Linked DNA regions of Caenorhabditis elegans. The protein of the gene in region 1 purifies or fractionates together with the protein of each later gene. This does not show direct contact. Each region holds a gene or a part of one and is shown on either strand. Other genes may lie near its edges.

What was found.
Region 2: the proteins of paqr-2 (region 1) and aldo-1 purify together in Caenorhabditis elegans (affinity purification with mass spectrometry, with the first as the bait; one large-scale study listed by BioGRID). This does not show direct contact.
Region 3: the proteins of paqr-2 (region 1) and Y48A6B.3 purify together in Caenorhabditis elegans (affinity purification with mass spectrometry, with the first as the bait; one large-scale study listed by BioGRID). This does not show direct contact.
Region 4: the proteins of paqr-2 (region 1) and dbt-1 purify together in Caenorhabditis elegans (affinity purification with mass spectrometry, with the first as the bait; one large-scale study listed by BioGRID). This does not show direct contact.

Annotation. Positions count from the first base shown.
Region 1 is NC_003281.10:5,375,158-5,381,757, forward strand, and holds paqr-2 (Adiponectin receptor protein), read right to left. Parts: upstream 4,773-6,600; 5' UTR 4,763-4,772; coding exon 4,679-4,762; intron 4,602-4,678; coding exon 4,512-4,601; intron 3,980-4,511; coding exon 3,876-3,979; intron 3,828-3,875; coding exon 3,688-3,827; intron 3,006-3,687; coding exon 2,638-3,005; intron 2,230-2,637; coding exon 1,495-2,229; intron 1,282-1,494; coding exon 1,057-1,281; 3' UTR 1,056-1,056; intron 1,008-1,055; 3' UTR 542-1,007; downstream 1-541. Other genes in the region: Y32H12A.6 (Flavodoxin-like domain-containing protein), read right to left, coding at 5,883-6,058, 6,104-6,569.
Region 2 is NC_003281.10:13,562,827-13,566,867, forward strand, and holds aldo-1 (Fructose-bisphosphate aldolase 1), read right to left. Parts: upstream 2,112-4,041; 5' UTR 2,094-2,111; coding exon 2,000-2,093; intron 1,900-1,999; coding exon 1,424-1,899; intron 1,185-1,423; coding exon 657-1,184; 3' UTR 520-656; downstream 1-519. Other genes in the region: T05D4.2 (F-box associated domain-containing protein), read right to left, coding at 110-210. UniProt on the Caenorhabditis elegans protein: May be involved in the metabolism of fructose-bisphosphate (beta-D-fructose 1,6-bisphosphate) and of fructose 1-phosphate.
Region 3 is NC_003281.10:11,006,266-11,009,476, reverse strand, and holds Y48A6B.3 (Putative H/ACA ribonucleoprotein complex subunit 2-like protein), read right to left. Parts: upstream 1,256-3,211; 5' UTR 1,247-1,255; coding exon 1,133-1,246; intron 1,083-1,132; coding exon 923-1,082; intron 878-922; coding exon 660-877; 3' UTR 548-659; downstream 1-547. Other genes in the region: exos-1 (Exosome complex component CSL4 homolog), read right to left, coding at 1-60, 108-226, 283-426; fipr-17 (FIP (Fungus-Induced Protein) Related), read left to right, coding at 1,875-2,018. UniProt on the Caenorhabditis elegans protein: Required for ribosome biogenesis. Part of a complex which catalyzes pseudouridylation of rRNA. This involves the isomerization of uridine such that the ribose is subsequently attached to C5, instead of the normal N1.
Region 4 is NC_003280.10:7,942,061-7,946,876, forward strand, and holds dbt-1 (Lipoamide acyltransferase component of branched-chain alpha-keto acid dehydrogenase complex, mitochondrial), read right to left. Parts: upstream 3,147-4,816; 5' UTR 3,116-3,146; coding exon 3,043-3,115; intron 2,997-3,042; coding exon 2,921-2,996; intron 2,840-2,920; coding exon 2,729-2,839; intron 2,421-2,728; coding exon 2,338-2,420; intron 2,101-2,337; coding exon 1,879-2,100; intron 1,829-1,878; coding exon 1,764-1,828; intron 1,719-1,763; coding exon 1,434-1,718; intron 1,355-1,433; coding exon 1,163-1,354; intron 1,114-1,162; coding exon 1,012-1,113; intron 956-1,011; coding exon 818-955; 3' UTR 542-817; downstream 1-541. Other genes in the region: GILT-like protein ZK669.3, read left to right, coding at 249-339, 383-505; ZK669.5 (GTP-binding protein Rhes), read right to left, coding at 3,599-3,734, 3,918-4,013, 4,061-4,221, 4,272-4,454, 4,754-4,816. UniProt on the Caenorhabditis elegans protein: The branched-chain alpha-keto dehydrogenase complex catalyzes the overall conversion of alpha-keto acids to acyl-CoA and CO(2).

The DNA.
Region 1 (6,600 bases):
CGAAGAGAACGGAGACTCTGCGTGACACACAACTCTGGCACTGGAATAATTTTTTGGGGCTGAAAACAAAAAATTCTAAAATAAACAAACAAATCTGAAAATTTGTCTACTTTTGGTACCGTACTCCATTTAAAGGGACATTCTACTATAGTATGCGTGGGTCTCGCAGAGATACAATATTTAATCCCTATTTTCGTAGATGCGCCTTTCAAGTTACTGTACTCGAGATTGTTTAATAAAATTCCTTAAATTATCGACTTCAAACCAATTTCAGATTTCAGCACTTCCTGATCGCCTGAGAACATTGAAAAACCAAAAATCTGATCAAATTTCAAGTAAAATGAAGAAAAAGGGTGATTTTGCTAGATTTTCACCTGCATGGTGTGGAACTACGAGTTTTTTCTGTAGAAAACTGATGAGAAATTGCAAGATATGTGATTTCGTGAATGTTTCGCTAAAACTCTTAAATTTCCGCTATTTTACAGACACTAGCGCTTGGTAATTATGCCGACTTCATGAATTGTTCGAAAAATCACAAAAAAAAATCGAAAATTTTATTTTAAATCGCCTAGACGACTACACTCACACGAAAATAGAATAATGGGCTACACAGTAAAATGAAATTCATAAAATACGAAAAAGAAAAAAAAAACAAAGCTCGAAAAGTTCAATGTTAAAGTTTAAAAAAACCAAATCTGGTTCCGAGAAAATGAAGGAGAACGCGAAAACAAGAAAAGAATAATAAGAAAACTAATTTCAATGGAAGAAAACGGAACGAAAAGGGGGAATAAAATGAAAAAAGGAGTGTATAGAATTTATCACATTGGAATTTTAGCTGAGAATGTTTCGACAGATAGTTGAGGAGCGTGGGGAAGGGGAACCAGGTAATTTGAAAGAAAATGGAAAAAAAAATGGTGAAAATGAGCAGAAAAAGGATAGTATGAAGAGGGTTGTAGCAGCTTCAAGAAGAGCATATATACGCAACTATACATATTGTGCAGAGGTTTCTGAAAATTATAAATTTTTTAAAAATAAAAAATTGGAAACAAATCTACCTCATAAACCAACATCCGCCGGTGTCCAGTCTCTGACATTGAGTGGCTCGTCGAGCCCAAGCAAAGTGCCAACGAAGGAAGGATTCAACTCGTTACCGTAACGAGTTTTCAGTTGATCCGGGCAGGATCCTTTCATGAGCTTATGCATTCCCATTTGGGAGATCGCGTGATAATGAACAAAAGCGGCGAGCACGACAAATGTGTGAAAGAGTTGATGCGATTGGAACTGAAAAAATAAACGTTATTAGTTTTTTTTTGAGTAAAAAAGATTGTTTAGCTTTTATTTTTTGAGTCTTTTTCGTATTTTCGTAAATTTTCTTTTGCAAAATGTGGTTTAAAATCTTTAAAGTTATGTTGTCTGGTTTTCCGGAAAACCGAGAATTGAAAATATATATTTTTATATTTTTCTCCAATTGCTAGTTTTTTTGAAACCACATACCCAAATATCGCACTTTCCAGGGAAACATCTCTCAGGTACACGTGTCGCATAGAGTGTTGCACCACCAATATACATGGCTCCCATCATAATCATCAAATGAACTTGTGACTCCTCAACCATATAATGAACACCGTCAACTACAAGTAAATGAAATGCTGGGACCACAGCCGATAGGCCCATTGCTATGAAAACTGCTGCTCGTACAGGCCGGAATTTGGGCTCCGCGAATTTATCCCAAAGCGAGACGACCATTGCAGCGATTCCAAGTATAATAATCATTCCGTTGTATATTATCATTGGTTGAGGTCTACAGTAGAATGCAAAATAGATCCACGGAACAAATGATCCAACGATGAGTAAGGAAATCCCAGTGTAATCGAGTTTACTGAACAGTTTAGCCATTTCAATAGAATGGCATGCAACCGTATGAAAAAGGAATGACATTCCAAGACATATCACTGCACCGAGGAAAAACGCCGAGTAGATCAATTTCTCCACCCATTGCATTTGATCATGGGGACGAGTCAGAAACCATATTCCGATACCGAAGAACGCAACACATCCATACATATGAGTCCAAATGTTTCCTGTTTCAGTGTGCAATGCAAAAATACTCTTGAAGCAGCTACTGAACGATGGAAGTGGAGGACGATGTCCTGTACGGAGGTATTCGTTATCTTGAAGCCATTCGGGTAGAGTTTCGAAATTTGTTGCCTTCCAGCGGGCTTCCCAGAACTGAAAATAATTTTGTAATATTTTTTTTTTAACTTTAATCGTTTTTTTTAACCAAAAAATTATTCTTTAAGATTTCTCATAATTTCAAGTAATTGTCTTGCAAAAAATATGTAGAAACTTATCAAAAATGTATATTTTTGAAAATTTTCTTATCAATAGCTCACATGTGTGCAAAATTTTTTGGCTCCTAGTACAAAGAAAATTTTGAATGTAATCAGAAAACTTTTAATAGAAAGAAAAACCAAATCAAACATTTTCGGAGATTCGTGAATTTTCAAAACTTATTAGAAATGTTTTTCTCTACATAATTTGTTTAAAGCAAAATTGCCGCCAATTAACATTTATCGCTGCATTTTTTGCTTTTTTTTGTTGCAATTTTGCAATTATCTCACTGGAGTTTTCCCTCACCCTCTTGATAACAGCTCTTGGTCCTTCTCCAGTTTCGCTAGGAATAATAACTTCTTCTTCATTAATCTCAACTTCAAGCTCATCATCATCATCACTATGATCCAAATGAATCTCCGCATCATGTCCAGCAGTAACAAATCTCAAATGTTTTCCATCTTCGTGTCCCCGACGTTGTGGATGTAATTTGTATTTGACAATTCGTCGACGATGCTGATTTCCACCTTCTTCATGATTATCATGAATAACTGCAACTGTCATCTTTTCTCCTTTTGCATTCGGCATACTCCATGCTCGACGATGTCCTTTTTTGAATGGTAATGCGGCTGCTTTAGACGTTGATGGGACATCTCCATTGTCAATTTCGATTCCTATAGAAATCATTTAGTAATAGTGTAGTTTAGTGAAAGGAGGGAAGTATTTTTGAAAAAAACGAATGAGAACACTTCCTGTCACCTAAAATTAATTTGAGGTGACGGTCAACAAGTTTTTTTTTGGTTGGAAATTTAACTTTTAATTCACTAATTTATTAAACGAGAGATCGGTGTAAATGATGCGATTTTTGGTTTATTTCGTTACACTGTAAACAAATAGTAAAAAAAAATTTTTTTTTGAAAATGTTCTCATAAATTGCGCAAAACTCTTATTTTTTGTTTGGTTTTGCTTTAATATCAAAAGCTCAAAAGAAATATTTTGTTTTGTTTTTATTGAACATTTTTAAAAATCGATTTTTTTACATTTAAAAGCCTTTTTTTCTTGAACTCTAACCTTTATGGGAATTAAATTGGATAAATCGATAATTTTTGAAAAAATTGGTTTAGATTTTTATTTGGAACATCATAAATAATGTAAATGTGTGAATTTTTTAATTAGAAACATTTCTTCAAAAATTCCATTTTTATGGACGAATTTTAATACTTCTCAAGAAGAATTTGTGGGAATGAACTATGAAATGAATATCAAAAATCGGTTCAAATACAAAAAGCATGTTATGCGAAATATTAAAGTATTTTTCGCACTTTAAAAAAAAATCATTTTTTTCAATAACCTTACCTTCAAGCAAAGTTGGAAGCCTATTCTGCCTTGTCACATACATTGATTCGTCTCTTTGCTGACTTGCAGGCTGTTCAACAACCTTACTATGACGAACAATAATCTCAAATCGTTGACCATCTGATGGCTGACTATTCGGACTGAAACAATGTTTTTTTGGAAGAAAAAAAAATCTGATGATTATTTACAATTGAACATCGACTTGATCAACAATCACATTCTGATTCTCTTGTGTATCAGCCAACTGCAGCGGTCCGTCAGTGATAATATTTTCTGCCTCTCGGAGCACATCCTGCAATGCACTTTTCAATTTTTCAAAATTTGATTTCTGATCACCGTAAAAATAACATTTGTCATATGAGGGCAAGCAGTGATAAATATGAAAACACGAAGTGGCTGGCTGGAGCTTGAAGAATGATATTCTAGCTTTTTTAATATTAAATAAGAATTAGCGGTAACTGACCACTAAAAAAATAGGAAAAGGTTTCAGAAAAATTCTCACTATTTGTTTTTATTGGTTTGCAGGAAATTCAAAAATAATGCCGTTAATTTTTTTTTGTATATCTGAAAAAACCTAAACTTCAGAAACTTTAAAATTTTTATACAGCTACAGCTTTAAATACCGAGAAAAAATTTCAATTTTTTTTTGAAAATAGAAGATCTGAAATAGTGGAAAATTACCATTTCTTTGAAAACACTTTTTCTTCAAAAAAACATCTCCAAACAGTGAGAATTTCTTAAAACTTCTAGCTCCAGCCACCACTCACCGACAACAAAAATCAATAATCATATGCTAATCTCTTTCAACCCAACAAAAAACGTACAGTAACACTCCGCAATGGGCTTTGTAGATTACTGCTATTCCGATTTTCCATAATTAATTCATCATTGTCCAACACCATCACCATATCTCTCTGAAATGTAATAAATTAAAACTAAAAACTGTGTTTTTTTTCTTTTTTCATAGAATAGATCACGTGAAATAGATTACCTCGTCAAACGAATTTCGAACGCTTTTTTGCAAAAGTTTTTGCGATTCCGCCGGTGTTGCCGATTCCACGTCATCTTCCTCCATTTTGTTAAAGCTGAATTTTAGTTTTTAAAATTTTTTTCAACCGAGAATATAAGAAATTCCAGAAAAAAATCAAATAAAATCGGAACTGTGAGAGAATAAAGCGGATATTGATTAAAAAGCTTTTGCTCACACATACAAACCAAAAGCGCAAAGTTTTCTCCGTTTTCTCAAGAAAGCTTATGAGACAAGAGGGCGACTCGTGCTGCTGGAATGTGTGTTGGTGCGGGGAAGCGCATTTGCTGACCGGAGACTCAGAAGAGGTCAAAGTACTCCTGCATGAATTGGATCCAATGTAGTGAAATTATGACTTCCTTGTTTAAAATATGAGTTTCTGAAAAATTTGTTGAGTATTTTCAACGAGCTTTCAAGTTAAAACAGATTTTTTGTGTTTCCCGATGTAAAGCTCCAAGACGTGTTCGAAGAAATGGCGGAAAAATCGGCGGAAAAAAATTTGGGAAGTTACGCGAATTTTCCATGAAAAAAAGATTCGAAGGCAATTTTTCATATAATTTTTAAATAGTTTTCAATTTAAGTTATCGAAAATTGAGGATTTTAATGTTTTAAATGAAGAAAACACCTGAAAAACCACAAAACTTCGCTAAAAATTAACAAAAGATAAACGAAAAAGACACAATTGATATTCGTGATGAGACCCAAAGTGGAAGTGGTATGTGCCTTTAACAACTCGTTACGGTATTTTGCTTCTAAACTTTTTTTTGAGTTCTTTTACAAAAAGGTTTTCGTAGATTTCTAGTTTTCAGCACTGATCAAACTCATTCTAATTTTTTAATGCTTCGAAATATGCAAAAAAAAACTCCAATTATTTACAAGAAGCAACGGAAACAGCTAAACTTTAGAGCCCGTGCCGAGACCCGTCCTGGAAATGACATGCGCCTTTAAAACTACACTACGGTAATTTGGATCAATATTTACTTTCTCAAAAATTAATGTTTTCTTATTATTTTGGCAGTCACCAATATTCTTTAAAAAAAGCGAATTTATTTATGAAAAATGTTGAAAAAATAATACAAATATACAAAATATCTTTAAAATGCAGGAAAATTCAATTAAAGCTCGATATATAAACAATTATTAAAATATAAATATTTATATTCAAATTTTATTTCGACTTCTTATGTTTCTCTTCGACTTCATTATCATCCGAAGAGCTCTCAGATCTATCGTCTCCAACTTCCGATTCTTCGGTGTCTTCACCACTCATTCCAGGAAGATGCTTATCCATTTGCAAAAGGAGTTCGAACGAAAATTCCACAAATCGCTCCATAGTTTGCTTATCTGAAACTCAACATTTTAACAATAATCATTATTACGGTATGATACCAGTGTCAGTTGTATTGAAAAGTTCGACTTCAGTAATTTGCCTAGCTCCCAAGATTTTCATTCGTTTCAGCAAAGTTCTGGCGACTTTATTGAACCCAGCTGGCCCATCATCACTGCTTCCGAAGCCAACAATTGAAAATCTGATTTTCTCGAAATTCGCCTTCTTTCTAAGCTTCGAGTCCGCTGCGAGATCCTCAAGCCATTCCAAAAACCATTCTGTCGAGGGTGTCGGCTGACCACCAGCCGTAGTTTCAGAGATAAAAATACAAAATCCCTTGAAGGCCATTAACTCCTTCACATCCAAAGAGTCTGACCACCAAATCATCGGTTTTCGGACCATTTCATCACAAAGCTTGTCGTGAATCACCTTGGCCCACGGAGCTGCGAGCCCGTCTTCTTTTCCTAGAACTATTACGACGGCTTCTGATTCGGCAAGTTCCTCGGCAAGTCGTTCTTCTTCTTTTTTCTGAAAGAAATTGGAAGTCGTGGCGAGACCA
Region 2 (4,041 bases), 8.2 Mb from region 1:
TAGTCGATTTCTGAAGATCAAACAACTTGGAAAACAAAAACAATCCAACGACAGGGTGTAACACATTTACTATTGGAAATTTAGAAAATTTAGTTTTAAAAACACTTACATTTCAAAAGGGTTCTTGGCAGCCAAGGTATCCTTTTCAGTTGGCGGACCATAGTACTTGGTATAGAAGATCTCAGATCCTCTCACTTCGCGGTAGTACATTGCAATGGACAAATGAATGGCTGTAATGCGTTGCGAATAGTGTGCAACTGGTTAGATATCGATCTGAAAATGTGCATCGCACCTGCCCAAGGTTAAACGGCTCCACTGGGAAATTGTTCTCTCGCACTTACACTAGGCACCTTCTGTTCTCAACAATTGAGCAGACACATAAACCTACAAGGAATAGTGAGTAGTAGAAGACATCTTGACGTCATCACTATGAATGCATCGCGACGAGCCATCGCTCAATTGTCTGTCTGCTTGAATCAAATGTTCCAAAGATACATCTCTCTTTAATTGTGCATTCGTATCTACCAAAGATTTATTAAATCCGAAGAGACTTAGAGAAGCAAATAATGACAATTAAAGGGGTATACAGACACATAATTCTACGTGCGTTGAATAGTTTTAAAAAATGAGAAAAAAGAGATCCTGAGCGTGGCCATTTAATAAGAATGATTGGCGACGAAGAGGGATTGGGAAGCGGCTGCGTCAGCTGAAGCATCCCCGGTGTATTTTCCGACAGAGGCAAGGGAGTTGACCTGAGCACGATGGAGCAGGACTTCTTGGGCGGCTGCGATGTTCTCGTCCTTTCCGGCCCACTTGGCGAGACAGGAGGCTTGAAGAGCACGTCCATAGGAGAATGTGAGGGCCCATGGCTTCTTTCCGCTCACTTGATTGATGGCGTTCAAGTTCAATGTGGCATCCTCTTCGGATTGTCCACCGGAGAGGAAGACGACTCCTGGAACGGCGGATGGGACTCCGCGTTGGAGGGCGGTGACGGTGGCGAGTCCGATATCGGCATTCGATGGCTTCTCGCCGGTGAATGATTGTCCGGAGGTGACCATGTTTGGCTTGAGGAGGGTTCCCTCGAGGAAGACGTGATGCTCGTTGAGAGCGTGGTACACATATGAGAGCACGGTCTCGGTGATCTTCTGTCCGCGAGCCAAGCAGTGTTCACCGTCTGGGAGGATCTGAAATGATAACTAATTAGAGTGCCAATTATATTTTTTTTACAAAAAAAAAACTGCTGCGAGACCCAAGTAACGGACGTGGCATTAACTTGGGTTTTGCATCGAATATTAAAATTTTCTGTGAAAACCGTTCTAAGTATTACATTCAAGCCGATCTACGACTACATCCCCCCAAAAGGAACTTAGGTGGGTAGGTACCAGTGCTGTGCGACTCTCGGCTCTCGACTCTCGGTAATTACCTCTGGCTCAACAATTGGTACAAGTCCATTTTGTTGGCAAATTGAAGCATAGCGAGCCAAGTTGGAGGCAATTTCCTTAAGAGCAGTCACTGATGGAGTCGTAGATGAGATCTTGTGCACGCATCTCCACTTGGCGAACTGTGCTCCGTCTTTCTTGTATTGAGCGCAACGAGCATTCAAGTCATCCAATCCCTGAGTGGTTCCCTCTCCGATGGTTCCGGCCATTGGGACGACACCCTTGTCAACCTTGATTCCTGGAATGATTCCTTGCTCCTGGAGAAGAGCAGTGAATGGCTTTCCGTCGTCGGTCTTTTGGTAGAATGTCTCGTGGAACATGATGACTCCCGAGATGTACTTGTTGAGGTCGGCTCCGGCGGTAAACAGAAGTTGACGATACTTGCGGCGGTTCTCCTCGGTGTTCTCGAGTCCGATGCTGTTAAGACGCTTGTCCATGGATCCGGTGGACTCATCGGCGGCTGCAAATTCGAATTTCAGGGAGATTGGAGAGATTAGAGATTAGATTTGTAACACACAAAATGCCAAATTTTGTTTCCCAAATTTAATATCGTTACTTACCGAGAATTCCCTTTCCTGGGGTGACGATGGCGTTGGCGATGGAGCGGAGTTCGTCCTCCTGGGCCTTGGTCAAGAATTGCGAGTAAGAAGCCATTTTAGAAAATGAAGTTGCCTGAAAATGTGCAAGAGTGAAGTCGGTGAAAAACAAGGGCCGCTGATAAAAGTGAAAAGAGCCGGAGCTTTCTCTCTCGCGCCAAACGAATCGATGGCACCGCCGAGAAGGGAGACGGAGAGCCCCTGGCGAGAGAGCAAGAGTGTGTGAGAAGCCGTGCAGAGTGGCGAGAGGGAATTGAGGGGCCCTACGTGATTTGCACGAAATTTTGTGAGAAGTAAAAGAAGAAGAACTGCTGTTGGAGCAGAACGTGAGAAATAGTTTGAAGAAGCGAGAGGAGCAGGAATTGCCAAAGTCTTGAACTTTTCAACGTTGGAGGATTTGATTTGATTTGGTTCACGGAAGCGTGCGGAGATATGAAGATATGAAAGTTGAAATTGCTTTTCAGACATATGCCTCTGGCGTACTTAGAGCAGCCGGGCTATGAGCTCGAGCCTAGTTTAGGACTCATTGGAGTAGTCTGAAATTGAAATAATGTAAAAGAGATTACGAAATTTGGAATGATGCAATCGTTTTTCAGAGGAATCGACCCTACTTGGCACATTTTGTTTTTTTTTTTTAATTCGAAAATGAGCCAACTTGCCCCTACGATAAAAACACAATTTACCTAGTTTTCCAATATTATAGGGTTTAGACCACATAGTTATATTTAAAAAAAAACTAGAGTAAACTGCATTTTCGTTTGCCATATTCCGTAACTCGCTCTGTATTAATTATCAAAATAACTCAATTTTGTGTCATTTTACTCAATTTTTGGGGACAAAACCAATGGTTTTGGTCAAAGTTGTAATGTCAAAACTTTGGCATGTGCGGCAAATATCGAAATTTGCAGAGCTCGGAAAATTTAACAAATCTACTTTTTTGAAATTTGTCTTGCTCGGCAAATTCAGCAAAGTTACCGAGCTCAGCAAACGGCAAATTTGGCAAATTTGCCGTATACCCCTGCTCTGTTTATTCCCTGGGCATTCTCGTAAGACCTATAAGGCTACTATAAGTACGAGAACATGCGAGGCACGTACTAATAAAACAATTCAAAATCTACGACAAATCATGACAAAAAAAAACAAGAAGAGGATCTTATGTAAAACAAGCAATACATCTATGTATTCATTTTTGTAAATAAAATGAGCTTCTATGTCAAAACTATAACATGGGTACAACAAAAAAGACAGCGAATAGAAAACGACGTGATGTGAAAAAGATATTTTGAGAATGGCTATGTGCTTTTTTGCGTGAGATGGCAATATGGAGGAGGCATGATGCAATTGTGCGAATAGTGAGAGTTTAGAGAAAACGTAGAAGGGTTATGAAATTGTTTTTTTTTCTTCATGGACCCAGAATTTGAATGTGCACAAAGAAAACTTAACCATTGGAAATTTAGGTAGAATGCCTTGCAAAATCTATAAAAGCAACATCTTATCACGACTAACATATATATTCTTCTAATTTTCAGAGTTTGAATCAGAGGGGATCCGGAAATTTCAATTTCGGCAATTTGCCGGAAAAAATGGTTTTTGTCAAAATCTTTGAAAAAAAAATATTGGGAACTTAAAAAAAAAAGATGTTTGAAAAATGCGGGAAAACCGTAGCTCGGAATTGAGAAAAAGTTGTTACTGGCAAGTTTTAGAAGCTTTTGGAATGTAAAAAGTTTTAAAATTTTAACCAAGCGTATTCTCAATTAGCTGAAAATTTAAGCAATTCCAAAAAAAAAGCAACAAACTGTTTTGAAAAACTCGATTATCGAAAAGCTCTTCCTGTATATAGATAGATGAGAAGTGTAAGACGAACATAGAAAAAAGTATTTTCTCTAGGTAATGCTCTATCTGGCCATTTCCCACGTGAAATGCTCATGTCTGTCAAATGTTGACCCATAGTTGACAGTTGTTCTTTGTCTAAATGAATGTGGCCAATATTTTTGAGTTTAGAGTAA
Region 3 (3,211 bases), 5.6 Mb from region 1:
GCCGAGAACCGCTTCTTGTAAACCTTATCGCCGATACTGATGATGTCACATTTGGCGAATCTGCAATATTTTCTGTCGGTTTTCAGAGCAACGAAAAGCTGCTCTACCGTAATCCGACAGCCATCACTTTGGCGGTGACGATGGCTCCGTGGAATGGGAGAAGCTCATTGTCGAGCTGATCTTCGCTGCGGCGAACTTCGATCACTTGCACCAGGTTGTCGGATTTCTGCAGAAAAAACGGAAATTTTCGGGCTCCACGCTTGCGATTTGTGCGAAAATTACATCTCTGAATCCATAAACGTTGACAAAACCGGCTACCGACGCGAAGATCCTTCGATTCGCCTCGTATAATCCCTTCCCCATTCGATATTCACCAATCGCGTCGAGAACCTTGTCGCCGGGCGCCACAAGCGTTTCGGCGAGCATTTTCTGAGCTGAAAGTGGTTTAGAACGGGATTTGCTGTGATTTAGATTGATTTCGAGTAACAAAATTGAGTTTTGGAAATTACCGAGAAAGGATTAAAGAATAAAAAGAAAAAGTCTGTAGATAACAACAATTTAATGAGTGAACAATTGTGGATAAAGATGGTGATACAGATCAAGAAATTTTAAAAAATCAACAACAAAAAAAAAACAGTGAAAACCAGAGAAAAAACAATTTAGGCGGCCTCGACGGTGAGATGACGGAGAGCCTCGGCGACCTCGTCGTACAGCTCCTTGAAGTCCCCACTCGGCTTGACGAAGATCAGAATCGACGGGCGACGATGTCCGACGGCGAGTCCGAGCTGCTCACGAGATGGAATGTAGACGTATGGGATCTCCTTCTCCTCGCAGATTCCCGGAATATGTGAGTACACATCGATTGGAGAGACGTTTCCTGAAAAATTGAACGTTTTAAGGGAAAAATAGATTAAAATCCTACCAGCAAGAATGCAGATTCCCTTCTCGTTTCTGCGGAGCTCCTTCTGCACGTCCTTGATGCCCTCACGGAGGGTTTTATCGCCGGCGGAGGCCTTCTTGATGAGCTTGTACACCTTCTTGGCCAACTTGCGGTTTGCTAGTGGCTGAGCGATTGGGTTTACCTGAAAATAAGACATTTTTCATTAAAAAACCAGCGAAATTAATGATTTACCAGCTCGCAAAGTGCCTGGTACTCGTCCTTCTCGGTGGTTGGTGCGGTGGCGTCTCCATTGGCTTCTGATACGGTCGACTCGTTCATTGTCTCGTCCAGATTGCGCTTGCCCATTTTTTGATTCTGAAAATTCATAAGTTAATCGTGTAAATTAGCCGCAAAGTTCAATTAGCTTTAGGAAAAGAAAAACAATGAAAATGGGATTTTTGCAACAAAAAATCGATAAAAATCCTATTATGGGTGATTACATAGGAATTTTACGATATTTCATGGCTTAAAATTGATAAATATTATATTTCCGAATTTTAAAATTTAATTTTATCGAAAAAAATCGGAGAAAACCCGCAGAAAACTTCGAAAAATACAATAATTATGTGAAAATGCGTCAAAAGAGAAAAAAGAGAAATCGAATCGAAATGTGCAGTGGAGCGCGTTCGCCCACATCCCAGAGAGTGGAGACGCAGACAATTCGTTGGCGGGAATTCAAATTAGAGATTTTCAGGGAAATTCGTTTTGTTGAATTTTCAACTGTTCCTGACTCCGATTTTTGCAAGTTTTGCAGCCTCTCCGCTTCCCCGAAACGCTCAAACTTCAATTTTTACGAGTTATCATCAAAATCGCAACTAAAATATAACAATTTTATGTCCCCGAACCCCCCACCCGCCCCCTACACGGTACTATAAAAGCCAACTTCTTCCAGAATTCAAGCATCAGAAGCATCTTCTTCTTCTTCATCATCATCATGAACGTCTACTCTGTCTGCGTCTTCGCCATCTTGGCTATTTCTTCAGTTTCTGGAATCTTCTTGCCACAAGGAGGAAAGAAGTGCGGAGGAAGCAGTGGATACGGAAGCGGAGTCATCATCGGTGCACCACGTCCACAATAATTTTTGTGCAGTTTCTGTTGATTACTGATAAATATTGAACATTCAAACTCTGTTTTTTGGGCTTATAATCTTGTTAATCGCGCCGCAGGCCTTTCAGTTTTTAGGGCTTAGGCTTAGGCTTAGACTGAGGCTTAGGCCTAGGCTAATTCCTAGGCTTAGGCTTAGATGGAAAATCTATGACCTAATAAAATGGGACTTTGAAGTAGAAAGTTTGAAAAAAAAAAATCCCAAATTGGAGTTAATCTACGGGACTCTAAAGAAGTGCGAGACAAAATTAAAAAATTTCAAATTTATTTTTCTAGTCCAAAATGCTCCTACATATTGAGCAGTTTTCTGTTAGGTAGTTGAGGCTAGGTAGGCAGGCACGGTTTCAGGGCCTCACGAGAGGCAGGCGGAGGCCGCCTTAAGGTCAGGCAGGCAGGCGTTTTGGAACCCCTAACATTAACAATTCGACTTGCGTTGTATGATTTGAGTGTATTTGCAAACTTATATTTTCCGTGCAAATGATCACAAGGTTTTTAAGCATCGAAGCATACATCTTTGATGCTCCCGCTCCCGGAACTAACTTTATCGATGTGGGTGGAATAAAAGCCTTCCGATCACAAACCTTTTCCTCACTTCGGTTCTTCAAATGAACATTTATTGCGTTTTAGTGTTTGCTGTACTCTCCATCTTGTCGGTTGTTGGAAAACCTCGAGCTAACCATATTCGACCTGCCTCAGACCGACATATCATCATGGGATTCGACCTACCATCCAAGTTTGGATAATTCAAACTGAAGCAATTAATTTATGAATAAAAGTTGAACATTGTCTTGAAAATCTTGTTATGAAATTTGGGATAATCTGGTAATTTAGAACCATATGATTTTCCAGCACTTTTGAATTTTTGAAAAATACAGCTTTTATATATTTCTATCAATTTTTTAAAATACTTGCGGACAAGCTAGTATACTTTTTTTGGTATTTTCTGGTATATTTGGCAATGCTAAACAGTTTTATAAAATAAAAAAGAAGCGCTTCATATGATTTTATAGTACTTTTGAATTTTTGAAAAATACAGCATTTACATTGACATACCAAAAAATAGATTGACATACCAAAAAATAGATTGACATACCAAAAAATAGATTGACATACCAAAAAATAGATTGGCATACCAAAAAATAGATTGGCATACCAAAAAATAGATTG
Region 4 (4,816 bases), on another chromosome or scaffold:
TATTTTCTCCTTTTTTTTACTTTATTTTAATATTCTATCAATAAATAAATAATTGACCTTAATTCATTCCGAAAATCGAGCCCGTAAATCGGCACAAGCGCTACAGTAGCCATTTAAAGAATTACTGTAGTTACTGTGGTTTTCGCTACGAGATATTTTGCGCGTCAAATATGTTGCACAATACGCGTTCTCAGAATTCAGTTTTCTCGTAATATGTTTCCTCTATTAAGTTCATTTGATTTTTTCAGAATGATGGAATGTGCCGAAAGTCGTCATGGCCGAAAACTATTCAGCGATCAAGAAAATATTGTTGCTCAAATGGCACCAGAGATGGATTGGGTATCTTTAAAATGTATTGTAATTTGTAATAATTGAAATTCAGGCTCCATGGATTTTAATCAATGGAACTCGATACAAAGAAGCCGAGGAAGATTTGTGGCAATTCCTTTGTGATCGATTCATCGATCCTCGACCAATTCATTGTCCAAAGAAAATCGTATACTAGACATTGAAAGTGCTTGTAAATAAAGATGTTTTCCAATTATCACGGGAATCTTTTCATTCTACACGAACATGATTATTTGATATCTGCATCCTACATCAAACAAGTAAATGGCACAAGAAAAAAGAAAAAAAAAGCAGGCTAATAATCGAGTAAGAAATGGATTGAAAAATGCAATCGTTATCTAAAATATGCTCTAAAAACAGGAGGCACCTTCAAGAAAAAAAACAGGTTTAGAGTGTTGAAAACGGGGGAATGTCTACATCAAGGGATAATTGGGCACCTAATAAAATTAACCAGATGAAACATGATACTTTACTTAAGTTGGGCGAGCATTGCAGATGGGTGTTCGAGGTAGAACTTCCAGCGATTGCTGAAGCGAGCCATTGTAGCTCCGTCCACAACTCGGTGATCTGCGCACCACGAAACTTTCATGATGTTCACAGGGATGACCTAAATAAATATTTGTTATCAACACGTCTCACAAATTTTGAAAAATATTTTCTTACATTGTCATGTTTATCGAATCGTGGGAGTTTTTCGATTTTTCCAATTGCTCCAATAGCCACTTGTGGTGGGAAGACAACTGGAGAGGCGTAGGTTCCACCGATCTTTAATTTTTTTTTACTAATATTAAGTAATTGAAAAAAGAAAACTTACATTTCCAATATTGCTCAATGAGAAAGTTCCATCAATCAAATCTTCTCTCTTAATTTGCTGTTTCTTTCCAGCCTCCAGAAGACGATTGAGCTCTTGAGCAATTTCAAAGATACTTCTTTGCTCACAGTTTTTGATATTCGGTACAACAAGCCCTCCTGGTGTGTCCATGGCGAGACAAATATTGTGAGAAGCCTGAAATTATTTTTCAAAATAGACAAATTCGAAGATTAATTATTTTTTAAAAGTAAACGTGTGAATTTCATCAGTATACCTTATGTATAACATTTTCCATTTTCTCATCAGTTGTAGAATTCAAAGATGGGTATTCGAGAAGAGCTAAAGAAGCAGCTTTGATGAAGAATGGCATGTAGCTCAATTTGATATGACGCTCTTTCGCGAATTCTTTCAGTTCAGCACGATATTTGACCAGAGAATCTACATTAATCTCATCGTTGTACCCAAAGTGTGGAATTTTGAGAGCTTCAGTCATCGTTTTGACCATCGCTCGAGTGTATCCACGAATCGGAACAGCAACATCTTCTTTGAGAGGTTCATACTAAAATAGTTGATTTGTAATTGAAACCACTTTAAAAAAATTTACCGATTTCGAAGATGGTTGTGGAGCTTGATGGGTAGTACGAATATTTGTAGATCCAGAGGTATGGTCTATAAATAAATAACATTAAAAGTTTCAAAAAGTTCTTCGTAAAAATTACCAGCCGGCACTTGTCCCAGGAACTTGAGAACGTCTTCTTTGAGAACTCTTCCGTCTTTTCCAGTTCCGCGAACTTCAGCTAGCTTGATCTTGTTTTCAATGGCAATTCTACGAACTGCTGGTGTGGCAAGAACTTTTCCTTCTGAATGAGCAGATTCTGGAGCTTTTGGCGCTGACGACTTCGGAGCTTCTGGCGATGATGAAGCAGCTTCCTTCTTCGGTTCTGAAAAAAAAACACTAGTAGAAAACAAAACACAATTTTAATTAGAAACAGAGAAGTCAGACTTCCCCTTGGGAAATCAAGTAAAATGCATTTTGTTCAGTTCTTGAAGTAGATTAAATTTCGAATCACAGATAAAATTGGCAATTATAGCTGATAGCATTTTCAAAGAAAAACTATTGCGAGATTATAACTGATAGGGAATTTCGATAAGAACATTAGAACGCATAAAAAACATACGTTCGGGTTCTTCCACGTTTCCCTCTATCTCAACATCAATGAGAGCCTGTCCAACTCGAGCCATTCCATCAACCTCATGATATCTGTAAACTTTTCTGCATTTTCAGATAAAAATGACATTTCAAGGAAAAACAGGAAAAAATTTCTTTTCAGTAATTTTTGATTTTTTGATTGCATTTTCTCCGTCATCTCCACAAAAAGCTTTATCTCTCAGCTTCACTGGTGATCAGTGATATTGTGATTGTCAATCAAGAACAGAGAAGAGACGCAGAGTAACCTGTGCAAACCGAGACGCCACGTGCCTTGTTACTTTTTACAATGTATATTAAAAAGAATTGAAACGACCAGATAGCAGGGAAACTGAAATTTTCGAATTTAGGAAGAAACTTACAATTTTTTGACAATCCCGTCGTATCTACAGGAGATGGTTACTGCTGCTTTATCACTTTGCACTTCACAGACTTTATCGAACTGCGAAATCGTATCTCCTTCTTTCACGTACCTGGAAGTTTAAAACAGTTTTGTGGAAAAATTATAAAATTCACTGGCTTTCATGCGAAACTACATCTACAGTATGACTTACCATTCCTTAACCTGAACTTCGGCAATTCCTTCTCCAATATCCGATAATTTGAATTGAACAACCGGCATAAAAGCGACTGAAACTTCGAAAATATTATATTAAAATAGATTTTTTAAACCAACCTTTAGATGTGTGAAGATGCTTATTTAATTTAAAAATTCTAGACGACGTTCCCAGGAGTCGTGCGGCCATCATTTTCGTCGGTTATTCTTACCAGTTTCTTCTTCTACAATTTTTGCGTTTACGAAATTAAAATTTATGAGAAATGACTGAGGAAAATAAAAAGGAAAATAAAAAAAAGGAAAATCCGTGGAAGCTGTGAGAAAATGAATAAAATGACAACAACGCGTCAAGGACGCATGCTGGCGCAAAGTGTCTTTGCGCATTTCTCGTGTAAACTGGCGGTTTTTCAAATTCGAATTCCAAGAAATCGCACTCTATCACGTTATGGTGCATCATGGTGCATTTTATGAAACTGTTTATTTAATTCAGAATTTCGGAAAAGCATATATATTTTTTCAGAAATTCAAAAGGTTTATTTCGTGATTTCATAAAAGAGAAAATAAAAAGAGATCAAAACCGTAACGCCCAATTTGTTTCAAAAAATTAATACCTCAAGAAACTGTGATTTTTCGTAGTTCAATAGAAAAAACAAAATATCTAAACTCAAAAACAATACTACATCAGTGTGCATTTATCTTTTTTAAGTGCGGGAGCCGAAGTTGTTGTCGCCGTGGGAACCGGTTCAACCCAAGCTTCAACTGTAGTAGATGGTGGTGACGTTGATGTAGAATTTACAGACGAAGACTGTTTTCTGAAACGCTGAAAAAATGTTGAAGGAATTATTCAGTTTATATAGTATTCAGAATTTTAGAATTTTAGAAATTTTCATTACAGATTGGATAATTGGAGAAGGTCTGAAAACTGTCAAATGAAAATATAGCTATTTAAGAGAAGAACGTTTAAATAAATAATTTGAAAAGTAATAGAGTCAAACCTCTCATTCGCGTTTAAATCTTTCTTCTGTCGTGTCAATTTCTCGATGAGGTAGGCAAATGGATGCATAACATTGAATTCTTTCAGTGCTGACACTCTGAAATTATTTTTTTATAATTTTTTTATTAAAAATCATCTGCAAACCTATAAAGTCTCTTATGTTTTTTCCTCATTTCTCCTTCAACTAATCCTTTATCCATTTGACTATCTTCCACAATATCTATTTTATTTTCTATGAACACAAGGGGAATTCTCTCTGTCGATTTTTGAATTTCATTGTATAATTCTAAAGTGTATTCGAAACTCTGAAATTATTTATTTATTTGATTTGCCAGCTTCAATCGAAATAACTCACATATACATCAGTTGTAGAAAAAACAAGAGCAATTGCATCGTGCTCTTTTGACATTCCTTCTTCCCATTTTTGTGAAACAGTTGCTTCAATTAAAACCTTCTCATCATCAACAGTAAGAGAAGTCCAAATACTTTCATTATCTCCTTCTGTGCAAAATGATCGGAGCAACGTCTTTTTACCAACCTGAATACATTTTTTTTTTCATTAAATGATTCTTAGAGTTACAGCCGTTGAAGAACAATTTTTAACATCAAAACTCAATTTTATCCACTCTGTGAGCTTAATGGGAAATTTTAAGTAGCCCTACTCATACTTTTTGAATAAAAATAAATATTTTGACTGCCACTACTCAAAATATGATACATTTTTTTAGAAACCTTTGTCAGAAAAATTCTAATAGAGAGTACATAACTAATTTAGTAAATTTAAAAACTAGAGACATTTAAATTTAAATTTTTAAAGATTTTAATTTAAAAAAATACCGATTTGCCTCCGAAAATAAGAAATTTGAAAACTCGATCATAAGAAGTTGGATCGGGAGCCAT